2 linked regions of the Lepisosteus oculatus genome follow. The protein of the gene in region 1 interacts with the protein of each later gene in a biochemical or structural test. Links are inferred from orthologs where the notes say so. Each region holds a gene or a part of one and is shown on either strand. Other genes may lie near its edges.

Evidence for each region.
Region 2: the proteins of abcc4 (region 1) and mpp1 form a complex in vitro, tested with the Homo sapiens proteins (2 studies listed by BioGRID and IntAct, with this or other methods). The link is inferred for Lepisosteus oculatus from reciprocal best matches to the Homo sapiens genes ABCC4 and MPP1.

The regions. Positions count from the first base shown.
Region 1 is NC_090710.1:7,173,795-7,181,100, forward strand, and holds the start of abcc4 (ATP-binding cassette sub-family C member 4), read left to right. Parts: upstream 1-4,247; 5' UTR 4,248-4,287; coding exon 4,288-4,361; intron 4,362-7,306. UniProt on the Homo sapiens protein: ATP-dependent transporter of the ATP-binding cassette (ABC) family that actively extrudes physiological compounds and xenobiotics from cells.
Region 2 is NC_090703.1:36,185,865-36,193,594, reverse strand, and holds the start of mpp1 (55 kDa erythrocyte membrane protein), read right to left. Parts: upstream 3,037-7,730; 5' UTR 2,794-3,036; coding exon 2,671-2,793; intron 1-2,670. UniProt on the Homo sapiens protein: Essential regulator of neutrophil polarity. Regulates neutrophil polarization by regulating AKT1 phosphorylation through a mechanism that is independent of PIK3CG activity.

The DNA of each region.
Region 1 (7,306 bases):
AATATTCTTAATGTGACCATACTAGTGCTTTGAACATTTTAAAATAACATCCCATGATTTAAATGTGAAATCTTGATCTACAGGTAGCTAGTGAAAAAAATGAAATTACTGTACATGCAGTACATGGAGTCATGTAATGCTAGCTTTAATTATTGGAAACTACATTTTTATACAAGACTAAGCATTCTGGGATGTTATTTGCTTAACTATTACATCAGCTAAAGTTATGTGGAAGCCTTTGCTTTCAATATACTTATATACTAAAAGAGGTTGTTTTGTCATTATTCTTGAGCAGTGTCAAGCAATTTAATCTTCAGGCTTCTGTGATACATTTCATGTTCAGAAGTTATTGAAAGAACAGGCAATGCTCCAAAGCTCTTTGGAACCAAGATTAAGTACAGTAAGTGAGAAAAAGTATCAAGAGAAAAATCAATTAGCAATTAATCAAACCCCCTGAAATTCAACTTTTCTATCTAGAATTAATTAACTTTAAATGTGATCTGGTAATGAATACAGGAATATGAAATGTTGGCAACTAATTATTATTTTCAAATGAAGAGATAAAAACCTGTTTTTAACAACAGTACAGCATGTGTTCTATTGTCATTTTAAAAATATTTCTGCAATGGCAAATGAGGCTTGGGTTTTTTTAGGTACAGTATGTAAGTTCCCTGCTTTTGTCAGCTATTCTGCAAACTTTGCCTTCAGTGGAAAATTAAATCCATAGATTCTGATGATGATTCGCTGTTGGTGACTCGCATGTACTGTACTGTAAGTGCATTAAAGGCTTCTAAAACTCTTGTAACAAGCAAGTGACACAGAAGAATAGAATTAAAAAGGATTAAAAAGTTCCTACGTCATTCATCCTCTCAACTGCCAATTCAATAGCCTTCTTCAGTTTGTGGAGCATATTGCATGTCAGTTTTTTCAACCTAAACAGAAGCTAAGGTGGTACCAAACCTTGAGGACATCTTTCACGGCAACATGAAAACTTCAGCCACTTCAACATAAGAGAGATGTATTTATAAGGAAAACATATCAATAGTAGTAACAATACTCACAATTTTGAATTTATTATTTTAAAATCAGTGCTTTTAGCTTTCTCAGGGAATGTGTGAGACAATATTTTATCATCTATGTATTTTTTAAGGCTTTCTGGTTCTGATTAATTTAAATTCCTGACCCTGACCGAACTGGGCATCTACACTCAGATATGAAGACAGAAAACAAGGACATTGCCCAAACTGAATATACAGACACAGAGAATCCTTTGGCATGACCTGTCAGAGTGTTTTTGACACAACAGGCTACCCTTTTCCTTATTGTAGCACAGTGTCACCATATGCTATTTTTGGAAAGAAAGACAAATTATAATGTTTAAAAAATTAGAATCTACAGTATGTACCTGACCACTTGATTAACATTGTTTTGGGGTTAACGTGAGTTCAGGAACTGCAAATACAGTACATAATCTCTCAAGGCTTCAAATGCAATCTCATCAATATATTTTGCATGAATTTGGTGAAAAGCAGATACATGTTCAAGTTTTTTGTATTTGTTTTTTGTTTTTTGAATTCTAGTTTATTGTACACGGTTAAGCGAAAGTGCTCTCCCTTGTGGTACGTTTGATGTTGTAATAAGTATGAAGGAGGATTTTTATTGATTAAGTCAGTGGTTTACTCTTACTGGTTTGGCGAAGAGGAGTACTTAATCTTTCACCTGATAGTGTGAGCATAAATAGACACCCCTGTTATGTGCAGCTGCAGAACAGACCTTTCTGACTACTCCTGTTGTGAAACAGCCGGCAAGGAGACATCAAGAGTGTGACCTAGCCTTTTTCCATTTCACAGCACTAATATGCATGGAACTGGGTCATTGGTCAGCTTGCCAAGAAAAACCTCAAAGGGAGCAGAGGGCAGGGCATCACTGAGTTGGTAGAATGAGAAACTATAATCATAGCTGTGGGTGGTTTTCAGAAGGCTGCAGTGAAACATGCATCTTTTTATTTAATTAACATGCCACTGGTGCTAAAATAATAAGACAGCATAATCCACAGCCATTTAAATTTGTAATATAAGGAAAACATTGCTGATTCAGATTACTTTCCTAAACCTTGACAACACATTTTTTGAGGTAATCTTTCATTTTTTAAAATCTCTATGGGATTAAATTATGGAACGGGATTACGTCTATGTTATTTTGTCTTAACAGTCAAGCAATTTGTGTTTGTGATCATGTAATTAACACAAATAGTAAGTACAATACAATATACATTTTATTTTTAAATAATTAATTAATAAATAAAATGTATTTATTGTAAATGTATACATTTGATCACATTACAAATAAAATGTTCTTTGTGATCAACCCAGTGATTTAAAATGACCATAAATATGTTGGATCAGAATCTCACTTAGTCAATGGACAACTCAATCCATATCATTATTATAAACAATTGCAAACACAGAGGAAGCAATAATTAATTTTATTCACCTTATTTTAAAGCATCTAGGCAAATGCAAACTATTTGCTAAAGTACTGTACTTTTTCTCGGCTTTTCTTCAGTTTTTAACACAAACCAACCAGACATTATATTATCAAAAATGATTCAATTACAGATCATCCCATATTTGATCTTTTGGTACAACTCATTCCTTACAAGAAGACTGCAGCAAGTTAAAGTACTGTAAATGGTATACTTTCTTCCAAGTAAATGACTGTGGAGCACTCGAAGGGTGTATGTGTTCACCACTGCTCTTCACTTTCTGCACGAATGATTGTGTTGCCAGTGGTTCAAACCAATTTCTAAACACATTTTTTGATGATTCCACCTTACTTTCTCAGATGAATGATAATGATGACTCCAACATATATCAGAACAATATATTGATTCTATAAAAACAGAAGAAATTGTCTCTGGTCTTAAACAGAATGGATATCCTTCCCTGGTCATAAGTTATAATGATTCCATTAAGCAAATTTGATTACATAACAAATAAAACATTGGATACATCCTATTAATATCTGGGAATACAGTATACTATACATAGTTGCAAATCTGTATTGGAAGGTACATGTTGACTTTTTTGTAATAAAGTACAGCAAAGAATTTACTTTCTTTGCAGGTTATGGTTTTGGTTACTATTGGTGCTAGTAGTCATACTCTGTGTTTTTCAGTTTTGTGGTACAAAGTGTCATGCAGAATGGAATAACTGGCTAGTATAATAGTCTTTCTGTGCAACATAAAGCCAAGATGACCAGACTCTTGAGGATGTTAGTAAGGCAGCCATTTGCAGAGCCTTCAAACTGCTTACATTAAGAGTATGTGGAGAAGACCTGTTAGGATCTCCTCTGATCGCTTCCATGTCCTGCATGAAGAATATTAACATACAATATGCCTTCAAACAGATGTTTTAGAGTTCCTCAATGCAGACTTAACAAAATGAAGAATTCCTTTATCCCATATTCAATAAAACTACTCAGTCAACAAATGAGTGTAGGTTAAGGGTTATGGAAGAATGCAATAAGTGGTTATGTGCAAAATGAAGAGTGAATAGACAATTATAGAGGCTTAGGGTGATTGTGGGTGGAGTAAATTTACAGGTACTGTAAGTTGTGAATTCCTATAGAAAGGACTATGGATGGGTTGAATTATTTTATGTAATGTTTATTTGTACTGTTCATACATTTTTATAAGTTTCTCTGTAGAAATAGCTGCTTGGATGCAGAACAAATTTCTGAGAAATCAGAGAAATCATTAATTTTATTTTTTTAGAGTTTAGAAGTCTGTATGTGATTGCACATCACTTTGAGGCAATAACTGCATGAAGTGTGAGACCCATGAGCTTACCAATCTGTTTGTGTAACTGATTCAGATGCTTTATTGCAGGCACTTTGACGTCTTGTTAATTCTGAAGTATTGTGGCTTACATTTTTGTTCAACCATGTAAAATGTATTCTCAATTGGTGTTCAGTCCAGAGATTAGATTGGCCATTTTGCTTGCTTTGCACCATCCAGTAACCTTGACAGACATCAGGGGTGCTGCCGGTTATAATTACAAGGCGCGTTGGTAAACCAATCCGAAAGACGTGGGCGGAGCAAACCAGAACCTGGTCTCAGTGTGAGTCTCGCGTCTTGGAAATGGGTAGGCTGTACTCAGTAGAGTTGTAGCTGGATTACCATGTGCAAAAGAGGGGTTATACAATCTTGCACAAGACATTGGTATAAAAAACAGACAAGGAGCCTTTCCCTTTTGGCCCAGACATTGAGCAAAGTGCTAGGGCACGATGGAACCTCTGCGGAAAGATGAGAAACCTAATCCATCGGCCACAGCTAATCTGTTTTCCAAGGTTTTTTTCTGGTAAGAGGGCGATTAAACTAGAAAGGAAGTAGAACAAATCGTATTTTCTCTTATATTCTGGTTTTCTTTGTTGCCGTAAATCCATACAGAGGCTTTTTTGTTACTGTAACGGAAGTTTCCGTTTTTAGTTTTGGAAGCTGTAGGTTTGGAGCCGGTGGTTTTATCGTGTAATGTACATCAGCTACACTGAAAAGAGACAAAAACCAAATAAGAGCTAAAATGATATAAAAACTGTATGATTAAGAAGTTTACAAAGCTAATTGGTTAAAAAAAACTTAATCGAAATGTATAAGCATCGTCTTAACAGAGGGTTTCCTTAATAATATGCAGTGAGCACGTGACAAGTGACACTGCAGTATTTGGTACGTCTGCACTCACGGCAATATGTATAATATTAAACAAAAACTGGTGTAATGTAAATATTTAATTACAAATATAAATGTAATTACTGTGCCGGTCGTTTCTTTCTTTCTGCTTTTTATGTTGCTTATGTACGTTGGTTGATCCACAGGTTGCTGTGTTGCCATTGAGTTTTAATACTATCTTTTGCAGTGAACCTTACCTTTATAGAATGTAACTTAATAATAACACTGATAACATGAAATAGGTGCTTTTAATAACATTTAATGTCATGTTATTTAAAACCACGAAAACGTGATTTTCGTTAGATGCTTTGAAAACTAAAGAAATAGACATGTATCTCCAGCGTTATAGCGAATATTAGGTTATTTAAAAAATGTGCGTTTAACTAAGCACTGTGGTGTGTTAAATAATAATTCCACATTTAGTGTTACGATGTACCTGTACGTTTGCTTTTCTTTATATCAAAAGTCAATCGTGTGAAGCACTTTTTAAAAGACGTACGCTTCTTCTATAAAACTACTCGAGAATTTACCAGCTGTAATAGGATACACTACCGCGGGAATTTGAAAGCCACTCTGAATGTCATCTCTGTACTTTGGTTTATGAGTTGCAAGTCCATTATACTGATGCAACTTTTAGTAGTTGTAATGTGTTCTTCATGTTTTTCTCACAATAGGCAAAAAAAGCTTGAAATATCCACATCCTGGTTCATGGTTTCTGTATAGTAAGATGCAGTAGCTTGTAAAACCTGAAATGGATCAAACTCCTATGCAATGTGAATTTCTCTGTTCACTATTAGGCGGGGTGGAAGCGTGTTTTGCCTATTTTCTTGTAAAAATATGCAAGTGCACCATATGACTGACAAGCTTTAGAAGACTTTGTTCCATTGTCATAACCAGTATTATTTTAATTTTATCTGCCGATAATAACCAAATAGTATTTGACGGTTTAAGAGAGAACATAATTCCTTGCTTTTGTACAACACTTCTCATCTCAAAGGATCTTCAGGCTAAGATCTCTGAAAGATGGTCCTGGTCAGTGCTGGAACTGGAGCACTTTGAGAATAGAAGCAGTTTGCTGACATTAGTGGTATTAGCAGAAACTAAAACATGACAAAGATAGTGACAGGGGACACTGCTATAGAGGACATTGTCCCAGATAACCTGTCAAATGAAGATCCTGAATACCTGGTTATTAAAGATCTTATGGAATTGTCTGTAAGAGTAGGGATGTTAAATGAAGTGGCTAAATTTCACTCCGGGCTTGTACAATTTAGCCTCCCTAAATTTCTCACTAAATTCAGTTGTTGAATTTATTTCTGATTTCCCCACCTGATTAGCTGTGTATTGGGTCTGTAGTAGTAGTAGTAGTAGTAGTAGTAGTAGTAGTATTAACATCACTTTACAATTTTTTGCATTAGGAATGATCTTTTCGCATACCCCAGTTTGGTCTCCATGAGACACACAGACAGGGAGAGAGCCTGGGGTCAGAGCGCAGGGTCTGCCAGTGTACGGCACCCCTGGAGCAGCTGGGGTTAAGGGCCTTGCTCAGGAGCCCAACGGAGTAGGATAGTGGCTACATCACATCACATTGTTAGTGGCTGGTAAATTAATCTCTAATTTTCAGAAATGTACAGTACCTTGCCTTTCTTACATGAGTTCCACTCTGTCGGAAGTTGCGGTGTACTGTAAAAACAGATGCATCTGTGTTGTATCTTGTTTTACTACAAACCTGTAATTCCAATTTTGTAGTACTTGTTAGTAGTTTGTTGAAGGTTGTGACTCTTCAGTTATACATGATTTAGGATTTGATGACCCTGCTTTGCTAGCCAGTGAAACAGGAAAAATAAACTGTTGAGTGGACACACGACTTTGTCATATACAGTATTAGGGAATCCATTGTCCCATTATCTTCTCTCATTCTGTATTTTTCATATTGGAGCATGATTAGAGCACTATTTTAGGAGTTACAAAAGATAATTTTCACATTTTAAGTGAAACTAGTGACTTTGGAATTGAATGTCTTTTATTTTGAGACATGGCTTTGTTTTAATTTGTCTAAATTATAGTTATATAACTGGTGGCATAACCAAGTGAAGACAAACTCCTGCTTTTATGTTTACATGTGGTATACTGTAACTATATTGGCTGTATAAATGCAGCTGACACTGTAGAAGAGACGTAGCCCTGCCTCCTCCTTGTTTCCTCTCTTCACATTTCTGTTAGTACAAACATGTGCAAGGAGCTCATGTATGATCCATCTACTGGTATAAAAGGGCAAATGTTAATGTGTAAAAACTCTGTGTAAAGATTATGTACATTACAAAGGAGAAAAACATGACAGGTCTAATTTTTCTCTTGACTTAGTAGTTTGGCTTGAAATGTGATTAGGAAGAAATAGCAGAACCAAAAACTTTGTTATACCTTCCTCTGCACACAATTAAAACCAAACCAAGAGCAAGATCTAGTAATAAACATAAAGGTGATATGGTATGAACCTTGTTTGTGTAGATAAGCAGAGTGCAGTAATCCCTCATTATACTATCTTAATTTGTTCCTCAAAAACGGCTTGTAAGGTGAAAA
Region 2 (7,730 bases), on another chromosome or scaffold:
CAGTTTTTAACCCTCAAAAAGAAAGGGGATGATAGACTATTCAAGTAGCCAAAACAACGATTCATCAAGTTTTTATTCATCTAGAATATAAGGTAAGAGGCTAAACTGGCATGGAACTGATTACAATAATCAGCACTTACGGTTGGTAATATCCAAAATATTAATGGTGCTAACGTTATGTCTGTGGAAAATGGGATACAACATAGAAACTAGGGTCTAAGAACAATTTGGGCAACTATAAGAAGTTGTATCAGTGCCATGCATATTCACAGAGTTACTTTCTTTTATAAGAGTGTGTAGAAATCTGCTTACTAATCACTGATGTAGTTCATGTGCAGATGGATTTCTCAACAAGAATGGAATTTAATCACCCACTATTTCACAAAGGAATCAGCTGAGGCAAACGTGTTGAAACTGGCTACTGTATACATTTTTTTTCCTTGACAGGCAATATTTTAAGTAGCAATGCTGCTGTAAACTTTGTTCTTTTGTTCAACAGCTAGTTGTTCGTCCTACATGAACCCCAAGAAAAAATAACACAAGCACCTCAACATCTGACAGTTGATAAGAAGAAAGAATAAAAGAAAAGTATTAGACTGTGTGAGCCAAGAAATTATCCCCAAAAAGCCCAGCATCACAGATTAAGTATTTAGGTTTACCTTTTTAATTGGTCTAATTTTACAGTAGACGCTCATGAGCTGCAATGTCAAAGAATCTCAGAATTATAGTTTTCTTCAAAATAAATCCTTAACATCAAAAGAAATTATGTGATCAGCAGGGTCAACAGGGCATTTACTGTGAAAGTCACAAAGCAGAACCTTGTGTGAGCAGTGCTGGAAACAATACATGCTGAACATATACAATAAATGCTTTGATTAGGTTGCAGATTCCATCTTGTAAGATTCTGCTTCATACTTCTTGCCTGGACAAGCATGTGGCTTTTCACTGGTCTCTGAGCCCTAGAAGCCACGTCACCGCAGCTCTTTCCACATATATTCAACGGGGCTTCAAGTCTGGCAAGCAGACATGGACATGGACACGGACAGGGACACGGACATCCGTGGCATATCCGTTAAATTCTCACTTCATAAAAAGTTGTTTTAACACAAGCAGCTTGAAGGAGATGCCTTGTGCTGCTGGATATTTGACATATTTAGATGAGATCACCGGAAGGGCAGCAAGGGTCCATGGACATGTAGTTGCCATCAATCACAAGTAGAGTTCTCTGGTGACTCCCAATCAACTATACAGAACATTGACTGCATTATTCTGTGAGTCTACACCACATGACAATAACTGGCATCCATTAGAGTGGGCTACACGCAACTTTGATCGATCAATACCAAGGCTCTGCTGCTGGCAAGACTACTTGAGGTGTTGCTAACACCACCTAATTCTGCTGTGTTGATGAAAACAGGTGAACACCGCAAATGATGATGATAATAATAATAATAATAATAATAATAATAATAATAATAATAATTGCTTACACTTATATAGCGCTTTTCTGGACTTACACCCCTACCCTTTTCGAGAAACGACCTGGGATTTTTAATGACCACAGAGAGTCAGGACCTCGGTTTTACATCTCATCCGAAGGAATGCGCCTATTTACAGTATAGTGTCCCCGTCACTATACTGGGGCATTAGGACCCACATGAACCACAGGGTGGGCACCCCCTGCTGGCCCCAAATGATGTCTTGCTGTCTTCTCACACTTGAAAAGCTGGCGCACATATTGTGACCAACCTCACAGTGGTGATGTGTCAGTTTCAGCAAGGTTTCATAATTCATGGTTTCCAAGATTGTGGCCCATTGTCGAAGGACGGTGTTTGGGTGTTACCAGGTGAGAAATGGCTAACTGTGAATACCTCCGATGGTAAACAAAAGTGTTCTGACTTAGTCTACTTTTCAATATACACATGGTGGAAGGAGTTGATTTTCACTTGATAAGGATTGGTTCCTTTTTGTGTTTTTCTTTCTTAAGTTTTACTGTATTCAATGAGATAAATCACCATCAACTTCCAACATGTGTGCCCAATCAACTCTCTAACTAATAAGGTTGTTAAATAGTTAATTATTGATTAATGAACAACAAATCAAGATGATTTCACAATAATTTAATAAATATCAAAAGGAAGTAGTTTTATTTTTTCTAAAACATGCATGTATAAATGGTGATACATTTCTTGACATACTTTACAACAAACAAGTCACACTTAACAAGGCTTTGACATCTACACAGACAAAATGTGCAGACATTAATAATGATTAATCATAAACATATACAATTCATAGGTGATGTTTTGGAGTTTCTGAACATAACGTGAAGTAATATTGCACAGATCCAGGTTTGAAAGCCTTTATGTACACAGTCAGTACACACTCACTTTACGAGGAAAACAATAGATAAAGAAATGTTCCCCACCAGAGAAGATCACGTATCAGATGTGAACAAATTCAAACTGTAGCCTCCTATATTGTCTGTCTATCCATCCATCAGTACTGGAGCTGTCCCCTGTATTTACAGCTATTATTGATTTTCTTCATACACTAGTATTGACAGAAGAAGTAGTTAAAGCATGTTCTATAGCTAACGGTAACGAGATTGTACTGGTTTAAAACGGCTGAACATTTTTAAAGAATGACTGTATTGAATCAAATCCTTACCTTCTCTGGCTTGGGCTTGTTTTGTAGCAGCTGCTCGAGGTACAGATCGGAGAGGGCTGTCCGAACGCTGTTCACACGCTCAAATACAGCAGCGGGTTCGTTTTTATTGGATTTTAATGTCATCCTAAAGGTTAGCTAACAGCTGTCAATAGATGAAGGAACAGGACAGAGTGCCCTTGCAGAAGCTACCTGGCTCCACGGGGAAAGAGAAAAGGACCGATAATAAACCGTGACAGAAAGATAAAGCCCCGTTCTGGGTTAAAGTCCTAAAGTCAGATCGGATCTGACACACTCCGTAGAGTCTTGCCGGCAGTGCTTGCAAAGCAAGTAAACATAAGTGATGGAGGAGGTTAAAGTACTGCAGCTTCCTTGAAACAGTTACGTGATAGGAGAGCCAAGGACTCTACCAAAACGCAGCAAAGTGGGGGACTAAGATCAACAACGACCTCATGAGCAATCTCATTATTTGTGTCTGAATGAAATAGCCATTTCTGGACACACGTACACGGAACTGACATAAAATATATTGTCGGTGTTTCAGAAGAGTAAAGTTTAATTATTTTCTACAAAATACCCCTTTGTAATGGTGTTTCCCATAACCTCAGCACAGACACTGCTTCAGCAGTTAGAATTTGACATGAACAGCATTTTGTTGCGCAATGGCGAGAGTAGCTGGGGTCTGTGGAAAACATGTATTTACGGGTGTGTGTTGTTGACAGTTGCCATTGAAACGCGCATCAAGGACATTTGCATTTCCAAAGAAACTGAAATATTTTATTGAGCATGGAAATACATACAGTTGTGTTTTATGCAAACGTCATTCCGACACTCTAGGAATAAGCAACTCCATCTGAAATCAATATTTACTTAATGGAGATGGGCTTTTCCCTTTTACCAAAGAGAGATACTAGATAAAAAAATCCTGTGACGCTAAGCTGGCGTTTTCTTTTGAAGATACCTAGAAAATTTAGAAGGCGCAGTCTATGTACAGTTTCACCCTTTTACTGAATTGACAAAATAAAAGTGGCTGAACAGGCAGATTACACAAACAGCAGGCAGACCACCACAGTTTACTCAAGAGAACAAGGACTCTTGCTAAGGGCTACTCTATACTGTAGGTCCCCAGGGCAGGCGGATGGATACTAGCCAGAGCCTGAAGGCCTCAGCCAATAAGGGCACACCATCTTTGTCACTACTATGTCCCATACTGTACAGTATATCCCATTTCCGTTGCAGCGTTGACATCGACTTCGAGAACCAAGCCCTCGAAATGTACTCATTTTTTATCAACAGAGGATATCCCAGCAGTGTGATTGACAGGGCCCTTGCCCGAGCCAAAAACACCCCCCGGACCATCAACCCGATTAGGAACTCCCGCCGTAACAACCGCATTCCCTTGGTGCTTCCTTACCACCCTAACACACTTCCTATCCCCAGGACCATTAACCAGAATTTTTCCATCCTACAGGATGATCCCTCCATTGGGGCCCTCTTTTCTGATCGCCCTATCATCTCATATCGCCGACCACCTAATCTGCGTAACCTCCTTGTTCACAGCTCCCTTGACCGCCCTCAACAACCATCCACACCAGGCACTTTCCCTTGCAACAGAGCTCGCTGTATCACCTGCAAGTACACAGCCACCACCACACTCATTCAAGGCCCCTCAGGACAATTCCGGATCACCCAGACAGCATCTTGTACCTCCAGCAACCTTATTTACTGTATCTCTTGCAGTAAATGCCCAGCCATCTACATTGGAGAAACAGGAAGGAGACTCGGAGACCGCTTCAGAGAACACGTCAGGGCTGTGAAGATTAAAGATCTCTCCAAGCCCATTGTTTCTCATTTCACCTCTGACGGCCACGACCACACTAATCTCTCCGTCTGTGTTCTCAAAGACGGTTTTCCGAACTCATACATCAGAAAGACCACCGAAACTAAAATTATTCTGCAGTTAGGATCACACATTCTCCCTTCCCTTAACGACAGATTACTGTTCTTTTAAATTTTCTCCATTCATTGGAAGTTTCATTTCACACCTCTCTGCACCCATTCTGCCTTCACACCTCTTGATTGGCCTCTCTTTCTGTCCCCTGCTCCCGCCTCTCACTCCTCCTCCCCCCAACCTTTGTTCTCCTGCTACTTTACCTTTGCCTACTGCCCTGTCTCTCTCACACCTGAAGAAGGCTCCACGGCCGAAACGTTGTGTTCTCTTTCTTCTTTTTTTCAGCATGGAATAAACCTATTACTTGTTCCTTTGCAGCCTACGCATGCTGACGCAGCTACCCACCTGAACTACTACCGCCTACAGCTGCTGCGACCCACTATGCCTTCCTCCAAATCTTTTTCTAGATCTCTTCGTCATACCTTCTCTTCCTCCCTGGGCCACTTGCCCGCTTCTCTCACTAAACCAGCATTCCGTCTCTTCACAGCTATCTGTTCCAAGACCAGGCTTTCTAACCACCTTCTATTCCTTTACAGATGTCGTCGACATAATATCATCCCTAAAGGATTTCGCCTTAAATTTAATACCTTTTCTTTTGACTCTGATAACACCCAGAGCAACACTCAGAGACTTCTAAAACAATTTTCTAGGAAACTAATGCTCTCTACCATTTTCTCCCTCAAAAAACGGATTATCCTTTCTGACAACAACATCAAAGAGGCTAAGGAATTTCTACGGCTGACAGCTCCACACCATCTTCCCTTCATAACTAACCTCATTAGATCTCTCAACTCTAAACTCTACCAGTTTCTCACTACAGAGAAGGACAAAAAACTCAGTCATCTTCTACAGAAGAAAACCATCAACACCCCGGACACCCTCACCAACCCTAACCTTGTTGTCACCATACCTTCTGACCTTTCCCTTTCACAGGACGAGCGATCCCTCCTCAGCAAAGGGCTCAGTTTTGTACCAGTTCCCAGGAAGCTGGACATCCCCCAGACCAATGTCGACCTTAACCGCTTTTACCGCAGGATCCGTCTCAGAGCACATTTTGCCGACAATTCCTCTTCACAGGCAGCTGATAACAACCCGGTTATTGATGTCATTAACAACATTAATCCGAAACAGAGCTGTTGGACTCCCTCCTCCGGCCGTTTTCCACCAGTTGATTATTTCATTAACCAATGCACTAATCAAGCTCCCAAGGCACTCTCTATACCCAGTAAGCATAGGTCTAACCTCACCCAAGGAGAAAATCAGGCGCTCCAGTCTCTCCGCAACAGGGATGATATCGTCATCAAACCAGCGGACAAAGGAGGTGCTGTTGTGGTGTGGCGTAAGGATCTATATATCTTTGAAGCCTCTAGACAACTAACTGACACTTCTGCCTACCTCCCTCTCCAACAGGACCCTACCACTGACTACCAAAAGGAAGTGGTATCCACCATTTCCCTTCTTATCAGCAGTAACGAGCTCCCCCAGGAGGCGAACCGGCTCATCATGGAACATCCACAGGTATCTCAATTTTACTTCCTCCCCAAAATCCACAAACCAGACACCCCTGGACGCCCCATCGTATCAGCATGTAACTGTCCAACTACTTACATCTCAGCCTTTCTCGACAGCCTCATGAGACCGCTGGTTGAAGATCTTCCCTCATACATCAAAGACACCAACCACGCGCTCCAACTTTTCAATGATTTCCAATTTCAGGGTACCGAATGCCACATTTTTACCATGGACATCACATCTCTGTACACCGTCATTCCCCATAATGACGGCCTTACAGCACTCAAGCACACGCTGGACAAACGCACAGTGCTTGATCCACCCACCCACACCCTGGTACGCCTTGCAGAATTGGTCCTCACACTGAACGCATTCTCTTTCAATAATCTTTTTTACCAACAGGTCAGTGGAGTTGCCATGGGCACCAGAATGGGACCCAGCTATGCCAACATTTTTGTCGGCTGGGTAGAAGAACGCTTCTTCGCCTCCTACACTGGCTATGTCCCTGACCTCTACAAACGATATATTGATGATTGCGTCGGTGCCGCCACATGCTCCAACGATCACCTCGAGTTCTTCCTGCACCATTTCACCAACTTCCACCCGTCCCTCAAATATACAGTTCACATATCTTCCACCACTCTTCCGTTTCTAGACATCCACTTGTCTATCAACTACCCCCGACTTTCCACTTCAGTTTATTACAAACCCACGGATTCACACAGCTACCTCCTGTACAGCTCATTTCACCCCAACCACACTAAAAACTCTCTTCCTTTTTCACAGTTCCTTAGGTTACGAAGACTATGCAGCGTTGACATCGACTTCGAGAACCAAGCCCTCGAAATGTACTCATTTTTTATCAACAGAGGATATCCCAGCAGTGTGATTGACAGGGCCCTTGCCCGAGCCAAAAACACCCCCCGGACCATCAACCCGATTAGGAACTCCCGCCGTAACAACCGCATTCCCTTGGTGCTTCCTTACCACCCTAACACACTTCCTATCCCCAGGACCATTAACCAGAATTTTTCCATCCTACAGGATGATCCCTCCATTGGGGCCCTCTTTTCTGATCGCCCTATCATCTCATATCGCCGACCACCTAATCTGCGTAACCTCCTTGTTCACAGCTCCCTTGACCGCCCTCAACAACCATCCACACCAGGCACTTTCCCTTGCAACAGAGCTCGCTGTATCACCTGCAAGTACACAGCCACCACCACACTCATTCAAGGCCCCTCAGGACAATTCCGGATCACCCAGACAGCATCTTGTACCTCCAGCAACCTTATTTACTGTATCTCTTGCAGTAAATGCCCAGCCATCTACATTGGAGAAACAGGAAGGAGACTCGGAGACCGCTTCAGAGAACACGTCAGGGCTGTGAAGATTAAAGATCTCTCCAAGCCCATTGTTTCTCATTTCACCTCTGACGGCCACGACCACACTAATCTCTCCGTCTGTGTTCTCAAAGACGGTTTTCCGAACTCATACATCAGAAAGACCACCGAAACTAAAATTATTCTGCAGTTAGGATCACACATTCTCCCTTCCCTTAACGACAGATTACTGTTCTTTTAAATTTTCTCCATTCATT